2 linked regions of the Anolis sagrei genome follow. The protein of the gene in region 1 interacts with the protein of each later gene in a pairwise test. Links are inferred from orthologs where the notes say so. Each region holds a gene or a part of one and is shown on either strand. Other genes may lie near its edges.

Region 1 (10,385 bases):
TTTTTAAATTTAAAACTTACAATATAAATATATGAAATGAAATAACCTGGTTGGATAAGCCTTGCAAAAATAAACAGAAACTTGTTGTAGCTTCTAGAGCAGCCGTTATCAAACTGTGTTCCATGGAAACGCTAGGGTTCTGAAAAGCATTGTAGGTGTTCCGCGAAAAATCTTGAAAATAATATTTAAAACAGTTTTTAAAATAAAACCACACAAAGAATATTATTTGATTTACATTACAGTATCTGTAATAGCTATTCTGTAGTACAGCTATTGCTATCAGGTATATAGTTAAATAAACATAATAACAACAATAACAATACCAATACCATACTCTGGGACTTCCGAATTCAGACTGACAGAGTTCTGGAGCACAATACTCCTGATCTCACAATTGTGTTAAAAAACAAAGTATGGATCATCGATGCTGCAATCCCAGGTGACAGTAGGATTGAAGAGAAACAACTGGAAAAGCTGACACAATGTGAGGATTTAAAGATCGAACTGCAAAGACTCTGGCACAAGCCAGTCAAGGTGGTCCCAGTGGTGATCGTCTTTAGGCACTGGCTGCAGTGCCTAAAGACCTTGGCCTGCACTTAAACACAATCGGAGCTGACAAAATTACCATCTGCCAGCTGCAAAAGGCCACCTTACTGGGATCTGCATGTATTATTCACCGATACATCACACAGTCCTAGACACTTGGGAAGTGTCTGACATGTGATTCAACACAACAGCCAGCAAAGTGATCTTGCCTTGTTGTGTTTTAAATAATAATATCGTTCATACTTGAGTATAAGCCAGCACGGATATAAGCTGAGATACATTTTATCACAGAAAATTGGGAAAACATATTGACTCGAGTATAAGCCGAGGGTGGGAAACGCAGAAGCTACTGGTAAATTTCAAAGTGAAAATAGATAAGCACAATGGTAAATTTGGGACTGGTTTTAGTGGCCAAACAGATAGACCTATAGCCTTATTTGTTTTAGCATGGGATTATAGCTGGTGATTGCCCTCATTTCCCCAGGTCACTAGGGCATCTTTGTTGAGGTCAGCAAAGCATTGGCAATGAACAGGGGCTCTCCAAAGTGCCGTCACCAGCTTTCGCAGTGGCAAAGGACAACCCAGGTGAGTTCCATTCCCTTTCCCTTGCCCCACAGAGCTCTCTCTTTTCCTTCTCCCTATTACCCCTTCCCTACATGTTTTTCCATTGCCCCTTTTTTATACACCGCTTCTCCCGCCTCCGCTTTTTGATCAATTAATTTGGTGAAAATGTAGAAGAAAGGCAATTCTCCTCAAATACCGTCTCACCTTTCTCCCCACCGTGGGGAAGAGACGCAGCTAGTTGACAATCACATCACAAGATTTATGGGGCAGAGGAAGTAACATGGCAGTGTAGCAGGCGTGCAAACTATGTACAGGATACAACCTGAAAGGGAGAGATGAGCCAATGTCAACAAATGGCACCCTGTTGTCTACTATATCATCAGGCTTTATACATATAATGGCTGGACACTAATCCCAGAAATAGGTGATATCAATTTCTTCAACATATTTAATGAGATTAAACTCCAATAAAAGTTTTTAAAAAATGAATAAATAAATAGCTATTTTTTAACTTGAGAGAACACCTCTGTAAGAATGTCTAGGTCTTCCGGCACAACTTGGAATGACCACAGTGTATGAGTTTTGGATTATGTGATTTTACAGTACTCGCTTATCCAACGTTCGCTCATCCAGCGTTCTGCCTTCCGCCCGGATCTACAGCTGTTTCAAAGCATTGCAATGTTTTGGTGCTAAATTTGTAAATACAGTAATTACTACATAACTTTACCGTATAGTGAACTTCTTTTTCTGTCAATTTGTTGTAAAACATGATGTTTTTGTGCTTAATTTGTAAAATCATAACTTCAATTGACGTTTAACAGGCCTTTCCTTAATCCCTCCTTACTATCCAACACCAGAGCCCCTGGTGGCGCAGTGGGTTAAACTCCTGAGCCAGCAGGACTGAAGACCGACAGGTCGCAGGTTTGAATCCAGGGAGAGGCGGATAAGCTCCCTCTATCAGCTCCAGCTCCTCATGCGGGGACATGAGAGAAGCCTCCCACAAGGATGATAAAAACATCAATTCATCCGGGCGTCCCCTGGGCAACGTCCTTGCAGACGGCCAATTCTCTCACACCAGAAGCGACTTGCAGTTTCTCAAGTCGCTCCTGACACAACAAAAAAAAATCCAACATTTTCGCTTATCCAACGTTCTGCTGGCCTGTTTATGTTGGATATGCGAGACTCTACTGCAATACTTATACTAGGATGTTTTTAATGCTTAAATGTTCTTTATGTCTCGTGTTTAATGGTTTTAGGCAAGCCCCCACACTGTCCTCCTTTTGGAAGGAACTGACAACCTGGATGATCCAGCAAGCTGTTGAGAACAACTAGTCCCTAGTCCCAGTCCTTAGGTTGCTAGATGGTACTCTGTTTAGCACTTCATCCACTTCCCCGGCCCTATGACACGTTGTTTGCATTAACCCTCAACCAGCCCTTTTCTACCCGATTATGTCTATTTTTGTACTCCAGGCCATTGCTATTGTTCAATCTCTCCTAATGAAGCCCGAATGAAGTTGGTTTTATATTTTTATTTTTAGTGTATTTTATCAGGTTTTTGTATTTTATGATTTTTTTGTTTGTTATTTTGTTTATTAAGTTATAGCTGGTTGTTCTATGTTGTCTAATTTGCTTTGTCTTGTAAATTGTTTGTATGGTTTTCCTTTTGGCGCTGAATGTTTGCCATATTTGTTGAAAACTGCCCTGTGTCCCTTCGGGGAGATAGTACAGTCTATAAATAAAATTATTATTATTGTTATTATTATTATTATTGACACAAAAATGCAGTATGTCACAGCAAACAAGATATATATACTAGATTTCATTATTATTATTATTATTAAATTATTTTAAATTTAAAGTTATATGTTGGTGTTTGGTTATTATGATTTTTTTTTCTGTCTACATGTATTGAGTCGCCCCCCCTCCCCCCGGATGAGAAAGGTGGCATATAAATCTATATAAATAAAAATGTAATGTTCGTTTGTGGGATTAACAGAACTCAAAAACCACTGGACGAATTGACACCAAATTTGGACACAAGACACCTAACAACCCAATGTATGTCCTTCACTCATAAAAACACAGCAGAAGGGACTTAAAAAGCCCCAAAAAGCTAAATGACAGTAAAAAAGGGAAGAAAGAGGGAGGGAAGGGGGGAAAAAAAGAAAGAAAGAAAAAGGAAGAAGGAGGGAAAGAAAGAAGGAAAGGGAGAAGGAATCATGGAAGCAAAGAGAAGGAAGGAAAGAGGTAGAGAAGGAAGAAAGGAGAGAAAGGGGGAGGGAAAGAAAAAGGGAGGAGGAAGGAAAGTTAGAGAAAGAAGGAAGGAGAGAAGGAAAGATAAAAGGGAAAGAAGGAAGAAAAGAGGGAGCGAAAGAAGGGGGGAAGATGTAGAGAAAGAGGGAGGGAAGGAAAGAAGGAAAGAGAGAAGGAAGAAAAGAGAGACAGCAGAAGAGAAAGAAAAAGGGGTAAGGAAGGAAAGAGATAGAGAAGGAAGGAAGAAGAAAAGGAAAGACAGGAAGGAAGGAAGGAAGGAAGGAAGGAAGGAAGGAAGGAAAGAGGGAGTGAAGGAAGGAGGGAAAGAAGGAGAGAAAGAGGGAAGGTTGGCCACAGCAACGTGTAGCGGGTACAGCTAGTATCTATATAAATAAAAATGTAATGTTCGTTTGTGAGATTAACAGAACTCAAAAACCACTGGACGAATTGACACCAAATTTGGACACAAGACACCTAACAACCCAATGTATGTCCTTCACTCAAAAAAATGGATTTTGTCATTTGGGAGTTGTAGTTGCAGAGATTTATAGTTCACCTACAATCAAAGAGCATTCTGAACCCTACCAACGATGGAATTGAACCAAACTTGGCACACACAACTCCTATGACTAACAGAAAATACTCAAAGGATTTGGTGGGCAGTGTCTTTTGGTTTTGGAGTTGTAGTTCACCGACATCCAGAGATCACTGTGGACTCAAACAATGATGAATCTGGACCAACCTCTACATGAATACTTAATATGTCCAAATGTGAACACTGGTAGAGTTTGGGGAAAATAGAATCTTGACATTCGGGAGTTGTAGTTGCTGGGATTTATAGTTCACCTTCGGAAGCTTTCGGAAGCTCTAGGTGCTCTTACTGCCTATTACAGGGAAAACCAGCTGATCCCTAACCCATCTAAAACACAGACATGTGCCTTTCATCTCAAGAACAGACAAGCATCCCGAGCTTTGAGGATCACCTGGGAATGAATCCCACTGGAGCTACCGGCTGTTAGGAATTGTGGGCGTTGAAGTCCAAAACACCTGGAGTGTAGAGGCTTCATCCAAGTGCATATCCCTCTCCAAAGCTGTCTTTAGACCAAACATGGGCAAATTTGGGCCCTCTGGAAGTTTTGGACTCCAACTCCCACAATTCCTAACAGCCGGTAGGAATTGCTGCCAGGGCCCTTCCAGACAGGCCCTGTATCCCAGGATCTGATTCCAGTTTTTCTGCTTTAAACCGGATTACATTAGTTCACACTGCCAGATAACAGCCGGTAGGCTGTTAGGAATTGTGGGAACCGGCTGTTAGGAATTGTGGGAGTTGGAGTCCAAAACTTCCAGAGGGCCCAAGTTTGCCCAGACTAGATTGACACTTGAAACTGCTATGTCCCAACGCGATGGAATTCTGGGATTTTGTAATTCTGGCGAACTACAAATCCCATTAAGCCATGGCAGTCAAAGAGGGGACAAACTGCATTATTTCTACAGTGTTTGGGATCCCCAAAAGGCTGCAAATCAAGGGGGAGATGGCGATCCTCCTCGGGTGTTTTTGTATTATTATTATTATTATTATTATTATTATTATTATTGTGGGGGTGGGCATAAAATACCCACTTTTGGGGGGAGATCAGCCTGTAAAGATCTCGGATCCCACAGATCGGATCCCTTCCCTTTTCCTGCTCCCGCCACCTCTGTTTACCTTTCCTCTTGTTTACCTGTTTCCTCTGCAACTTGCATCAAAAAAGTGAAAACACGGTCATCCTCGCATTCAGGAGCCAGTCGCTTCCGGGAACCCTTTGCCAGGCGTCACTTCCCTTTCCAGCCCGGGAAAAACCTCCCCTTCGTCGCCGGCGCCTCCCCGGGTTGGCGTCGCTGGCGGCCGCGCGTCTACACTGCAGAGCCAACGCAGATTAGCACCGCTTGAACGGCCCTGGCTCAGTGGATCCTGGGAGTTGTAGTTTGGCCAGGCATCAGCACTCTTTGGCAGAGGGAGGGGTGATAGTCTAAAGGCCTTTAGAAAATGACATCTCCTTGGATTCGCCATAGCAACTCAAGCGGTGTTAAACTGAATTAAGTCAACAGTGTGGATGCACCCTGGGAGTTGTAGTTTGGCCAGGCATTAGCACTCTTTGAGAGAGGAGTCTAAAGGCCTTTGGAAAACGATATCTCCTTGGATTCGCCATAGCAGTTCAAGCGGTGTCAAACTGAATTAAGACAACAGTGTGGATGCACCCTGGGAGTTGTAGTTTGCCGAGGCAACGTAACTCTTGCAGAGAGGTCTAAAGGCCTTTGGAAAACTCCAACTCGCTGGATTCTCCATAGCAGTTCAAGCGGTGTCAAACTGAATTAAGTCAATAGTGTGGATGCACCCTGGGAGTTGTAGTTTGGCGAGGTATTGGCACTCTTTGGCAGAAGGAAGGGTGATAGTCTAAAGGCCTTTGGGGAACGACATCTCCTTGGATTCGCCATAGCAGCTCCAGCGGTATCAAACTGAATTAAGTCAACAGTGTGGATGCACCCTGGGAGTTGTAGTTTGGCGGGGCATTGGCACTCTTTGGCAGAGGGAGGTCTAAAGCCCTTGGGAAAACTCCAACTCGCTGTATTCGCCATAGTAGTAGTCAAACTGAATTAAGTCAACAGTGTGGATGCACCCCCTTAAAGACCAACGACAGCGGTTTGGGCACCATTGGGATATAATGCAGTTTGGAACTGCATTTTACTGCCAGGGCCCTTCTAGACAGGCCCTGTATCCCAGGATCTGATTCCAGGTTTTCTGCTTTAACCTGGATTATATTAGTCCACACTGTCAGATAATCTTTAAAAGTGCATTATATGGCAGTATAGATGGGGTCAGAGATCACCAAAATACACAACTCCCAGGATAAGGATGCATTTAGCCATAATGGTTAAAGTGGTGTCAAGCTGCATTAAATTCTACAGTGCAGATGCATCCAAAGTGATAGCCCCTAAGGTCCTTTCTACACTGCTATATAATCCAGTTCAAAGATAATCTGGATTTTATATGGCAATGTAGAAGGAGCCTGAACTATATCCTACACGGTGTTGTTGGCTGTCTCCTATCCAAATACTAACCAGGGCTGACCCTGCTTAGCTGCCAAGATCAGAGGACATCAGAGACCTTTGTGCCATTGACCCCCACTTTCTAGGTCTCTAGGTGTTTGTTTTTTTGGACTTCAACTCCCATAAGCCCCAGCCAGCTTGGCCAAGGGCTAGGAATTCTGGGGGATGAAGTCCAAAACATTGGGAAGACCAGTGTTTGAAAAACACTGCATTTGGAGGAAGTGGCCCATGAATGCTCAGCTTCACACTGCCCTTGAGTGCATCTACATTGTGGAATTAATGCAGCTTGACACCACTTGGCTTAATGGTATGGAATCATGGGGGTTGCAGGTTATTTATTTATTTTCTGACATTTATATGCCGCCCTTCTCACCCCAAAGGGAACTCAGAGCGGCTTACAAGTTATATGTAAATACAATATATTATATTATTAGCATAGAACAATATTATTAACATACATTCCCATATTGTACTATACCAGTATACTGTAACATTATTAGTAATATAACATGTAATATTAAATATATAATAATTATAATTATAATATTAAATATATAATATTATAATATTAAATATATAATTATAATATATTAATATTATTAGTATTAGTATCAATATTATATGTTGTATACAATATATTAATTTGCCTCTATTGTACTATATATTAATTTATTGTACTATATATTAATTTATATTGTACAATATATTAATTTGCCTCTATTGTACTATACCAGTAACATTATTAGTAATATTACATGTAATATTAAATATATAATTATTATAATTATAATGTTAAATATATAAAATTATAATATTAAATATATAATTATTATAATTATAATATATTATTAATATCAGTATCAGTATTATATGTGTATACAATTTATTAATTTACCTCTATTGTACTATATATTAATTTATTGTACTATATATTAATTTATATTGTACAATATATTAATTTGCCTCTATTGTACTATACCAGTAACATTATTAGTAATATTACATGTAATATATATATATATATATATATATTATTTGTATACCGCTGTTCTCAGCCCTTAGGCGACTCACAACGGTTAACAACAAAAACAGCAAAAATTCAATGCTACCATCACACGGTATAAAAAACAGTTAACATCATAACATATTATAGAAAAGTATACAATTAACAACAGTATACAATTAACACCAATAGCCATTCACTAGCGTCTCATCACTAAAAACATGATCCAGATCCGTTATCCATTGTTCCATTCCTATGTTCATTACATTCATTGCACTGACTATTTTGCTTATAATATTAAATATATAATATTATAATATTATAATCAGAGTGGCTTACAAGTTATATGTAAATACAATATATTATATTATATTATTAGCATAGTGCAATATTAGTAACATACATTCCCATATTGTACTATACCAGTACACTGTAATATTATTAGTAATATTACATGTAATATTAAATATAGAATTATTATAATTATAATATTAAATATATAATATTATAATAATATATTATAATCTATTTTTATATATTATATATGTAATTCTTATAATTATAATATTATATATATAATAGTATAATATTATAATCAGAGCTGCTTACAAGTTATATGTAAATACAATATATTATATTATTAGCTTAGCACAATATTAGTAACATACATTCCCATATTGTACTATACCAGTACCGTGGAGGCCGTGACAGACTTTGTATTTCTAGGTGCAAAGATTACTGCAGACGCAGACTGTAGCCAGGAAATCAGAAGACGCTTACTTCTTGGGAGGAGAGCAATGTTCAGTCTCGATAAAATAGTGAAGAGTAGAGACATCAGACTGGCAACAAAGATCCGCCTACTCAAAGCCATGGTATTCCCTGTAGTAACCTACGGATGTGAGAGCTGGACCTTAGGGAAGGCTGAGCGAAGGAAGATCGATGCTTTTGAGCTGTGGTGTTGGAGGAAAGTGCTGAGAGTCCCTTGGACTGCGAGAAGATCCAACCAGTTCATCCTCCAGGAAATAAAGCCTGACTGCTCACTGGAGGGAAAGATACTAGAGACAAAGTTGAAGTACTTTGGCCACATCATGAGGAGACAGGAAAGCCTAGAGAAGACAATGATGCTGGGGAAAGTGGAAGGCAAAAGGAAGAGGGGCCGACCAAGGGCAAGATGGATGGATGGCATCCTTGAAGTGACTGGACTGACCTTGAGGGAGCTGGGGGTGGTAACGGCCGACAGGGAGATCTGGCGTAGGCTGGTCCATGAGGTCACGAAGAGTCGGAGACGACTGAACGAATGAACAACAACAACAACAACTATACCAGTATACTGTAACATTATTAGTAATAATACATGTAATATTAAATATATAATTATTATATTGTATTATTATTAGTATTAGTATTATTAGTATTAATATTATATGTGTATACAATATATTTATTTGCCTCTATGGCAAAATAAAGATCTTGTAAAACTATAACTCACACAATCCCTTCTCATTGGGCAAAAGAAGTGTCAATCTGCATTCTTTCAATAGGGTTGATCCAGTTTAATAACACAGGGGCGGGGCCTAATCGAAGCCACGCCCCTTTATTCCCCCTCCGACGAAGGAGGAAATGAAACTGCCGCCGGCAGCAGAGAGTGAGTGACGCATGCGCAGACGTGACATTGGAGTTTCGAATTTCTTTGGAGGAGTTTTAAAAGTTTCAGGTGAGTCGCTGTGATTCTTTCCTGGTTGGGGACTAACTAGGATTGAAAGAGGAGAGTGAAGACTGGTCTGTAAAATGATGGGAATCTAATTTCATCCATTCATCATCCCCAAAAGGGTGAGTTTTTTGGAGTTAGAGGGAGACATCCTTGGAAAAGTAAATGAATGGGAAAATATAGAGAGAGTAAAAAAGGGTGAAAGTAGTAATCCAGGGGATATAGCCCAGGTATGGGCAAACTTGGGCCCTCCAGGTGTTTTGGACTTCAACTCCCACAATTCCTAACAGCCGGTAGGCTGTTAGGAATTGTGGGAGTTGAAGTCCAAAACACCTGGAGGGCCCAAGTTTGCCCATACCTGGGCTATAGCCATGTATTTCTGTTTCACCTGTTTTTATCTGTATGCCATTTTTACCTGTATGTTATTTCCTGATCTTTGTAAAATGTGTTGGTTTTGTTACTGTAAAGGTTTGCCATTTTTGCGGCACAAATAACGTATTTACCTGGATTTTATTATTATGTAAATTTAAATATTTGCAACATGTTTACCTCGCCCTTCTCAACAACTGAGGGGGGGGGGGGACTCCGAGCGACTGACACTGGCAACAATTCGATGCCGCAATATCACAATATAAAACCATAAATACACAATAGATTAAAAACAATAACATTACTTATACAGTCATGTGGCCATTTGCATTATCATAACAATCATATGGTCCAGTTCAGTGTCCAAAGTGCCGTTGTGCCTGCTAGCCAAAAGCCTGGTTCTGAAACCACGATTTTAATTGTTTCCTGAAGGAAAGGAAGGAGGACGCTGATCTAATCTCGCTGGGGAGCGAATTCCACAAGTGAGGGGTCACCACCGAAAAGGCCCTGTTCCTCATCCCCACCAGACGCATTTGCGAGGCTGGTGGGACCGAGAGCAGGGCCTCCCCGGTGGATCTTAAACTATGGGGTGGAACGTAGAGGGAGATATGTTTGGACAAGTAAGCTGGGCCGGAGCCTTATAGGGCTTTATAGGCCAAGACCAACAATTTGAATTGTGCTCAGAACTTGACTGGCATATACTACCAATTACAGTGTTCTCTCACTACTTCGCAGTTCGTTTTTCACGTACTTGCTGTTTCACGGGTTTTTGCCTCCCAATTTATGAATGGTTTCTGTTGCCCAGAGCAGCGTTCTAATCCCGCCTTCTGGCAACAATGGAGTGTGGAAGGGAGT
Region 2 (10,219 bases), about 65 Mb from region 1:
GAGATCTTCAGCCTTCTCTGCAAAAAAGGATTCCTAAGACCATCAGAAACCTACCTCACGACCACCACTACCCCTCGGAGTCCTGACCCCCAGGTTGATAAACACTGTTTTTGAGTCTCAACATGAAGTACAGAATAAAGCATAGGGGTACATTTGCCACAGACTATCTGGAGATTCTATATACTTAATAGCTGCCTGAAAGGGAAGAGTGATATCAGGTAGAACTCATTGTATTCTAATACTGCAAGAGTTACAAACCTGCAGAGTGAATTCTTCACAAGAAGGCATTGATGCAAATTTAGAGCAAGCACACAGGTTTTGTTGGATTACCTTCATTTTTATATTGCAAGGTAGGATTGGAGTGACTTCTCAATAGATCAACACTGTACAGTTTTTGGGAATGCATCTCTCTCTTCCTTTTCATAAAGATTACAGTTTTATTCTTCTGAATAAAGGGTGGTGTACAAACTATGATGATCCCCTATACCAGGCAGTTGTCTCATGTATGTGAGGATTACATCTGTTACACCATGCCTGTGTGGTGTTGATTCCACTCCAGATTTTAGCTTCAGGGCTGACAGATCTATCCAAGGTGCTGAATCCTATTTCCAAATTATAACTGCTATATATGTGTTGAATTGAATTGTATTTACGAAAGCTCATACTGATATATTTACGCAACATATTCTCTTTTTGTGTGTGTGTTTACCTGTTCTCAACACACTAATTTGGTAGATATAGTGAATCTGTGATTCTAGGCACCTTGTGTAAATGGTTTTAAGGCACACATTGAGTAAGAAAAAAATATCTCCTTATATCAACCTAGAGATTTCTAGTTGTTTTGGTCTACAGCTCCCTTCATTCCTGACATTTGAACAGGCTGGGAACTGTGGGTGTAAATTATTACTCAAAACAACTGGAGCAACGCCCCTTGCATGCAAGAATCTCTGTGAGCTGCAAATGTTACTTCCAGGAGTATAATTTTAAGATATTTCCCAAGGGGCATGGTCATTTGTGAATCCTGTGAGCAATTTTCTCTAGTGTTGTACCTTCCCTCTTACCACACAGGTTAAGGTTGTGGTACCTACCTCTGCCGTGTGATGAGGTTGATGTAGTGCCTCAGAGCCGAGTAATATCTGGCCATATCTTCTGCTGGGGCATCCTCACCTGGACTGTCCGGTTTGGATGGATATGCTTCTGCCAGTGACCCCAGGCAGATCAGCAGGCACAAGGCAAGGGTCATCATTGACAGCCACAACCGCATGGTCCCCTGCATCTGGAAGACACCAGGAAAGGATACAAGAGGGAGGGCAAGAGAGCATGGCATGAAAAAATTCAAGCAACTCTTTACTTTTTGATGGGTAGAGAGCCAGTGTGATGGAGTGGTTTGCGTGTTCGACTACAACTCTTGAAAATCAGGGCTTCAATCCTCACTTGCCCATTGAACCCCACTGCGTAACCATAGGCAAGTCACACCGACTCAATCCCAAGGAAAGGCAAATGTAAACCCTCTCTGAACAAATTCTGCCAAGAAAACTCTGTGATAGGTTTGCTTTTGGGTCATCCTATGTCAGAAATACAGGGGCTATAGTAGAACAGCAGGTTAAACTGTTAAGCTGCAGAACATGCTGACCGGAAGGTTGGTGGTTTGAATCTGCAAGACAGGGTGAGCTCCCATCATTAGCCTCAGCTTCTGCCAACCTAGCAGTTTGAAAACATGCAAATGTGAGTAAATCATTAGGTACCACTTTGGCGGGAAGGTAACAGCACTCCATCCAGTCATGCCGGCCACATGACCTAGGAGGCATCTATGGACAACGCCGGCTCATCAGCTTAAAAATGGAGATGGGCATCACCCCCAAGTCTGACTCAACTAGACTTAATGTCAAGGAGAAACCTTTACCTTTACCTTATGTCATAAATGTCTTGAAAGCATAGAGAGGCAGCAAAACTATGACTACCAGTCCTTTGCTTTCAGGTAAGCTCTTTCAAATTAAAAAATAATTGTCAGTGGAGTAACTGCTTTTCTTGAGGTTTTAATTTGAGCTTTAAATGAACTGTCCAAGTTGTGGAATCCTGTCCCTGAAACTAAATCAGCAAAGAACAACAAATATTTCAGAAAAATCCTGCATACAATCTCTCATAAAAATGGATTTAGTTAGCTTTCTCCATTGGAGGGTGGGAAGCACTTCTTAAATATGGTTTGTATGAAAGTTTATTATCATTTCTACTAATAATAATATAATGTATTTATATTCTGTCCTATCTTCCTGAGGGGACTCAGGACGGATTACAGTACACATATACAACAAACATCCAGTGCCGTTATACAATGAACAAAGACAGACAGTACATAAACAGAGGGAAAGGCTTCACATCTTTTTCCATCTCTGGCATCTGGAGGCTGTACTACCTGGCTTAGACCATAATAACTTACCATAAAGAAATGTAAAACCCTAGTGAACTTGTACATTTCTGCTTTGAAGATGGAAGCATTCTGCTTAAAGTCTTTCATGGCATAAAAGAAGGGGAAGAAATGTGGAAAAGGAGAAAATTGTATCAATTCTGATTTATTTTGACATGGATTTTTAGGATCCTAATTCACTTCCTTGGGTGCACTGATGGTGTACAATTTTCAAGCTCAATGTACATATACACAATATAATAGTTCTGGAAGTGTGGAATTAAGAATAAAATAAGAATACCAAAAATTCACAATATATACATGAAACCAGCTTGGCACAGTGGTTTGAGTGTTGGACTACAACTCTGGAATACGAGGGCTCAATACACCATTCAGCCATGGAAATCCACTGGTGAATTTATGCACGTCACACTGTCTCAGACTAAAAGGAAGGCAATGCCAACCCTTCACTGAACAAATTTTAGCTAAGTAAACCCCATGATAAATTTACGCTATTGTAATTGCTGTAAACCATGAAGCCATTTCCAATACTTGGCAACATTTGTTCAGAAGTGGTTTGCCATTATCTTCCTCCAAGGCTGAGAGAGTGTGACTTGCCCAAAGTCACCCAATGGGCTTCATGGCTCAATGGGCATTTGAGCCATAAACCAACACCTAAACTACTACACCACACTGGTCCCAGTTGCCATAAATTGGACATGGCTTGAAGGCGCACCACCACAACAATAAGCTGGAGATAACACTGACTTAGCAGAAACGTTATGGATCTGTAAACAAATGCACAGACTTGCGAGAATTCTTAGAGTTAAAAAGCAATACTTTGCTTTCAGGAAAGTTTTGGTTCTGCAGAAGTCGCAATCTTGTGTTGATGATGGTTGTTTCCACAAATGTAATTAAAACCAGTCTATTAATATATGTATGTATTGTGAAAACAAGCCATTGTTTCTGACTCTGATAATAGATTGACATTTGTCCTTATTCCCCCAGTTTGTGTTCCTTTCCAATCTCTCCTTGAAATTCTCCTCTTGATCACTTTGGCTCAGTTAAGGACTGACAGTTGTTGCTTAGCAAGGTCCTTCTCAAGCAAGTCAGTAACTCAGCCAGGAATCATTTGAAAACGCGCACCTAAAATCTCATGCTAGAATAAACCACTGTGCTGGATATACTGATTACATGATTGCATCTTCCAAAAAGTTACAAGGTTTGTGAAGCAGGTGGACAATAGCTGTCTCAACAATGGGAAACTTCAGGGGGAAGACGATGAAGGTGAGAGAGGGAAGTGGTGGCAGTGGCGGGGGGGGGGGGGGGAGAGATTAAGAGTTAATAGGATTCATAGCAACGTTTTGTCACAGAGCGAGCATAATAATAATAATAACAACAATAATAATAACTTTTTTTGTACCTCGCCTCCATCTCCCTGAAGGGATTCGAGGCAGCTTACATATGACACAAAGTCCCTAAAAACAAGGCATAAAATAAATAAACTGCACAATACAAAAAGTAAAACCAATAGCATATAAAAACAACAAATTTATATCAAGGGCAGGGAAATAAAGGAAGGAAAGAGACGGAGAAGGATGGGAAGAAAGAAGAAGGAGAAAAAAAGGATGGCAAGAAAAAGAAAGAAGAGAAAAGGAAAGTGAGGGCAGGAGAAGAAAAGAGAGGAGAGCAGGAAATGAGAAAGGAGGAAAAGCGAACATAAGGAGAAGAAACAAGGAAAGAAATGAAAGAATGAAAAACAAAGAGAAGAAAAGGAACGGGGAGGAGATGGAAAAAGGGAGAGAAGGAGAAGAAAAGGAAGGAAGAGAAAAAAGGAGGAAAGGGAACAGAAGAGAAAAAAGGAAGGAAGAAGAAAGAGAAGAAGAAAATAAGGAGGGACAGGAAGAAGATGAAAAAGGAGGAAAAGAGAACAGAAGTGGAAGGAAAGAAGGAAGGAAAAAAGAAAAAGAGAACAGAATAAGAAAGGATAAGAAGGAGATAAAAAGGAAAAAGAAAGGAAGGAGATGAAAAAGGAGGAAAAGAGAACAGAAGAAGAAGGAAGGAAGGAAGGAAGGAAGGAAGGAAGGAAGGAAGGAAGGAAGGACGGAAGGAGAGGGATGGAAGGAAGGAAGGGGAGGAAAGAAAGAAGAAAGAGGAAGGAAGGAAGGAGAATAATAAGGGGAAACAATGAGAAAAGGAGGAGGAACGGAAGGATGGGAGAGAAAGAAAGAAGGAATGAGAAGAGAAGAGAAGAGAAGAGAAGAGAAGAGAAGAGAAGAGAAGAGAAGAGAAGAGAAGAGAAGAGAAGAGAAGAGAAGAGAAGAGAAGAGAAGAGAAGAGAAAGGGAACGCAAGGGGAAAGCCTGGCCAAGCGGGAGGAGGCGCGCTCCGGTGCTGTTCACCTTCTTCCTGTGTGCCTGCGCCTCTGCCTTCTCCCGTGACTCTGGATCCCGACTGGAACTCCTTCCTTGCTCCTTGGCGATCCCGGCTGCGACTCGGCTGGCGCTCTCCAGTGCGGGGCCGGGCGCCTGGGCGAGGTGTTTTATGGCTTTCCCAGGAGGCGGGAGGGGCTCGGGGCGATCACGCTCCGGTCGCTCTCCCACAGCCCCCCCCCTCCCTGCCCCCCTCCCCCTCCTCACGCGCGCCCCGCCCGCGCCTGGCCCACCATTGGCATCATCACCACCATCATCATCGGCGTGGAAAAGGGAGGGAGAGAGGGTGGGGGCTTGGTGGGCCCCCTCCGGCCGCCAGACGCCTTAATCCCCTCGCAGACTCGGCGAAGAAGTGCGCTTGAGAACATTCCGGCACTCTTCCCACCCGCAACTACCCAAAGCCTCCAAGATAAACTTTAGTGGCGGGTTGAATCTCTCTGAGAAGTGCTTGAGATTATAGTAGACTTTCCATTAACTGGCAACCATGGGGTAGATAGATGCCAGATCAATGTTTCTGGTTGCTTAAGAGTTATTATTAAAATAGACCTAATTAATACTATATTCCAGGCAGGGGCAAACTTTGGCCCTCCAGGTATTTTGGACTTCAACTCCCACAATTCCTAACAGCTTCTTCTTCTCATCCTTTCAGTCATGCACCTTCCCTGCTTTTCTTCCCCCCCCCCCACCACCACACACACTTTAGTTCCTTACTTACTTACTTCCATCCATCCATCCATCCCTTCCCTCCTTCCCTCCCTCCCTCTCTCTCTCTCTCTCTCCTTGTCTCCCTCTCTTTGTTTTCTGTCATTCTTGACCTCCTCCTAGTCCTTTTCATGGCATGGTCATCGAAATGGCACCAAATCCTGGCCTTTTCAAAGCAAGACACCTACACAAACCCCTTCCAAAATACAAATCTTCATGAAATGGCTTACTTCCTTATAGAGTGGATGTCCTAAGTGTGGCTTTCATGGCCATAACCACCATTGTTTTAATGTATTGCTGAAGGCTTTCATGGCCAGAATCACTGAGTTGTTGTAGGTTTTTCAGGCTGTATGGCCATGTTCTAGAAACATTCTCCCCTGACGTTTTGCCTGCATCTATGGCAGAGGTTGTGAGGACCTCACGACCTCTGAGGATGCCTGCCATAGATGCAGGCAAAACATCAGGAGGTAATGCTTCTAGAACATGGCCATACAGCCCAAAAAACCTACAACAACCCATTATTTTAATGTTTGGGTCCTTTACCCCAAAATGGAGAAGATTTTGTAGTTTATACCCTGCCATGATCTGAAGTTGGGTAATGAAGGGTGTGTGTGCCAGGTTTGGTCCAGATCCAACAAGCCATGATGGAGCCTTTGTGGTACAAGCAAACCAACCAACAAGCATATATACAGTAGAGTCTCACTTATCCAACACAATAAATGGACCAGCAGAACGTTGGATAAGCAAAAATGTTGAATAAGGAGGAATTAAGGAAAAGCGTAGTAAATGTCAAATTTTTGTGTTGTTTATTCATTCAGTCTTCATGACCTCTTGGACCAGCCCACACCAGAGCTCCCTGTTGGCCCTTAGTCAGCCCCTCTTTCTTTTTCCTTCCATTTTCCCCAACATCATTGTCTTCTCCAAGCTTTCCTGTCTTCTCATGATGTGGCCAAAGTACTTCATCTTGGCCTCTAATATCCTTCCCTCCAGTGAGCAGCCGGCTTTACTTCCCGGAGTATGGACTGGTTTGATCTTCTTGCGGTCCAAGGCACTCTCAGAATTTTCCTCCATCACCACAGTTCAAAAGCATCTATCTTCCTTCGCTCAGCCTTCCTTTTGGTCCAGCTCTCACATCCATAGGTTACTATAGGGAATTCCATTGCTTTAACTATGTGGATCTTTGTTGCCAGTGTGATGTCCCTACTCTTCACTATTTTATTGAAATTGGTCATTGCTCTCCTCCCAAAAAGGAATCATCAAATTACATTATGATTTTACAAATAATGCACCAAAATATCAAGTTTTAAAACAAAAAGACAGAAAAAACAGTTCAATACATGGTAATGTTATGTAGTAATTACTGTATTTATGAATTTAGCACCAAAACAGACAAGGGTTCTTTCTTTCTCCCACTCTGGACATTATTCCACAGGTAAATATATACACTCCACTTCCCTCACCTGTGGATCTGGGCAGGAGGCAGACTGAGTTGGATAATACAGAACATTGGATAAGTGAAGGTTGGATAAGTGAGGCTCTACTGTACTTTAGAGAGATAGAGAGATAGATATGTTTAATAATTTTCTGAATGACACAAAGTTTGTGTATCTTGAATCATCGGAAAGCAAAGGTGTCACTGTCTCTGTCATGCATGTGGCCAACTTTGGAGCACTTCAAATTTTAGAATTTGGGTTCAGTGATGCTCAGCCTGTCAACAAAAGCTTTTTCTCCATCTACCTTCTGACTAATAGAGGCACTTTAACTATATCCAAGCCTCCCGTGTCCCTAAATAGTCCTTTTGCTGCCGTCCTCAGGGGCTGTGGAAGATCGGAGTCACAAGTCAACACAGATGGACCATTCCAGGATTTTGTCCATTTCAGTTGGTCGATAAAAGTATCACTCTTTTTGCGAAGTTTGGATTTTGCTTTGTTCTGATCACTGAATGAAAAGAGAGTAGCAGCCATTGGGTTCCCTGGTCTACCCCCACCCCAAGTCTGAAATAAATTCCATCCCAGATCAAAAATAGCTGGCCGGCAGTATTTAAAAGGCAGAAAGCCAATCACAGACACACACACACATAGAGACACCGGTTGTAGACTTCAAAGGGAGAATAAATTCTGTCTTGACTTGCACCAAAGAGATTCAAATTCTATCTGGGACCTGACAGAAAGTATCTGGAGAGCCCCTCCCTTCGCCCCCCTTCGACTCCAACTTTGATCTTGAAACACAATTATTCCAAAGGAGCTCAGTCCTCATTGTAATCCTACAGAGTGGTGTGACAAATTACAAATCCGGAGACTGAATCCTGCTGAATAGGATCGAAAAAAAGGAAGCAGCAGCCCCACCAACGAAGGCAGGAAGACTTTGGCCTTCCATCTGAACCCTGAAACTCCACAAACCACTCTTCTGATGTAGAGATTAACTTCAAGACTGGCAGACAGATTTAATCTCTGCACCAGAAGAGTAGTATGTATATGCTTCTTTGCTTTAGGTATCATCAAGTTAATACCACCTATAATAATATAGTATTTGAACCAGACACTCAGGGACTTGTGCCAGAATTCACCCTTAGAAAACTGCAGTGAAGCTCAGATACCAGATGCACTCAAAAACCCCTATATGTTCAAGGTGCGGCAGGTAGACTGAAGAAATATAGCATTATATCAACATTATAAAATTGAATGAAAATTTTAGACTCTGGACTTAATGGTTTTATAAAGTCTATCTATGGTTTTATAGGGGCCATGGTAGCACAGCGGGTTAAACATCCAGCTGCAGAAAATCTTGCTGACCAGAAGGTTGGTAGTTCAAGCCATGGGTGGGGTGGTAGGCTCCTGCCGTTAGCCCTAGCTCCTGCCTACCTAGCAGTTCAAAAACAATAATGTGAGTAGATGAATAAGTACCGCTTTTACGGGGAGGTAAAAGGTGCCCATGCAGAGATGCCGGCAATTCGATAACGACGATGTCCACAGACAACAGACTCATCAGCATGGAAAATGGAACAAGAGCACCTCCCCATGGCTGGAGTCGAGCACAGCCTGCAGATGCCTGAGATGGAAAGAGAGAAACCTTTGCCTCTATTTATTTATTTATTTATTTATTTATTTATTTATTTATTTATGTACAGTATTTATCTTCCGCCCTTCTCACCCCACAGGGGACTCAGGGCAGATCACAATGCATATATACATGGCAAACATTCAATGCAATAGGCACACAAAATATATAAACAGACACACAGAGGTATTTACATTTTCAGCTTCATGAAGGTATGTTCAAATTTATTTATTTATTTATTTATTTACTTTATTTGTATACCGCTGTTCTCAGCCCATAGGCGACTCACAGCGGTTAACAACAAACAGCAAAATACAGTACACGGTAAAAAACAGTAACATCATAACACCTAAACGATCCTATATAACTAACAACAATAGCCATTCACTGGCGTCTCATCACTGAAAACATGATCCAAATCCGTCATCCATTGTTCCATTCCTATGTTCATTACACTCATTGCACTAACTATTCGAACGCCTGCTCGAACAACCAGGTCTTCACTTTTTTGCAGAATACCAATAATGATGGAGCTAGTCTAATATCTGTGGGAAGGGCGTTCCACAGCCGAGGGGCCACCACCGAGAAGGCCCTATCTCTCGTTCCCACCAGCCGTGCCTGTGAGGCAGGTGGGATCGAGAGCAGGGCCTCCCCGGAAGATCTCAAAGTCCTGGTGGGTTCATAGGCAGAGATGTGGTCGGATAGGTATCTTGGGCCGGCCACCGGGGGATCTGTCGCTTCACCGTCCATTTGTGACACCGATGGAGTACTTCCTCATTCTTTTGCATACTGCTGGAGATTTTTAAATTAGTTAAATTAGCCTCCCTGCATAAGTGGTACCTAAATTTCCTACTTCACAGATGCAACTGTCTTTCAGGCTGTATAGGTTAACAGCAAGCTAGTCAAATGGTCAGGAGCTTACTCCGTCCCGGGCTGGCTTTGAACTCTTGACCTTTCGGTCAGTAGTAATTTTAATGCAGCTGACTCCCAACCAGCTGTGCCACAACCCAGTCTAGGTACAGTCCATCTTTGTTGTTAATTGTATAATGGCATTCAACGTTTGCCATATATGTATTCTGTCATCCGCTTTAGGTCCCCTTGGAGAGATAGAGCAGAATATAAATAAAGTATATAAAATATATTATACCTAGAGTGGTATAAAATGCTGTGAATGTTAGTCTGCAATTCTGGGAGACCCACTTGGCCATAGAAAGCCTTGGATGGCCTTGGGCAACTTACACCTTCTCAGCCTCAGAGGAGGGCAATGGCAAAAAAAAAAAATCCTTGGCAAGAAACCCCCATGAAAGGTTTGTTTTAGGGTCACCATATATACAAATCAGGCTGGGGGTACATACAAAGAACAAGTGACAAGGGCACAACTTCTTTAGATGGCCATTTATTTCACTGCACTTCAAAAGAAGGTCTGCTACATTCGAGGCCCTTTTTGCTCATCCTCTGGAATTCTGTCTTCACAAACCACTGGCAATTTGTGAAGCATCCCTATATTATAGTATTCCCATTAATATTATTAATCGTAGTAAGTGCAGCAGCTTTATATTTATTTATATCCTACCTTTCCTCCCAAACCTGATACTCAAGGTGGCTTATGAACAAGGACATTTCGT

What was found. The genes of interacting proteins can lie anywhere in the genome.
Region 2: the proteins of NR1H2 (region 1) and NPY interact in a two-hybrid assay, tested with the Homo sapiens proteins (3 studies listed by BioGRID and IntAct). The link is inferred for Anolis sagrei from reciprocal best matches to the Homo sapiens genes NR1H2 and NPY.

What each region holds. Positions count from the first base shown.
Region 1 is NC_090026.1:28,207,098-28,217,482, forward strand, and holds the start of NR1H2 (oxysterols receptor LXR-beta), read right to left. Parts: upstream 5,208-10,385; 5' UTR 5,085-5,207; intron 1,433-5,084; 5' UTR 1,315-1,432; intron 1-1,314. UniProt on the Homo sapiens protein: Nuclear receptor that exhibits a ligand-dependent transcriptional activation activity. Binds preferentially to double-stranded oligonucleotide direct repeats having the consensus half-site sequence 5'-AGGTCA-3' and 4-nt spacing (DR-4).
Region 2 is NC_090026.1:92,761,758-92,771,976, forward strand, and holds the start of NPY (pro-neuropeptide Y), read right to left. Parts: upstream 4,943-10,219; 5' UTR 4,806-4,942; intron 1,277-4,805; coding exon 1,089-1,276; intron 1-1,088. UniProt on the Homo sapiens protein: NPY is implicated in the control of feeding and in secretion of gonadotrophin-release hormone.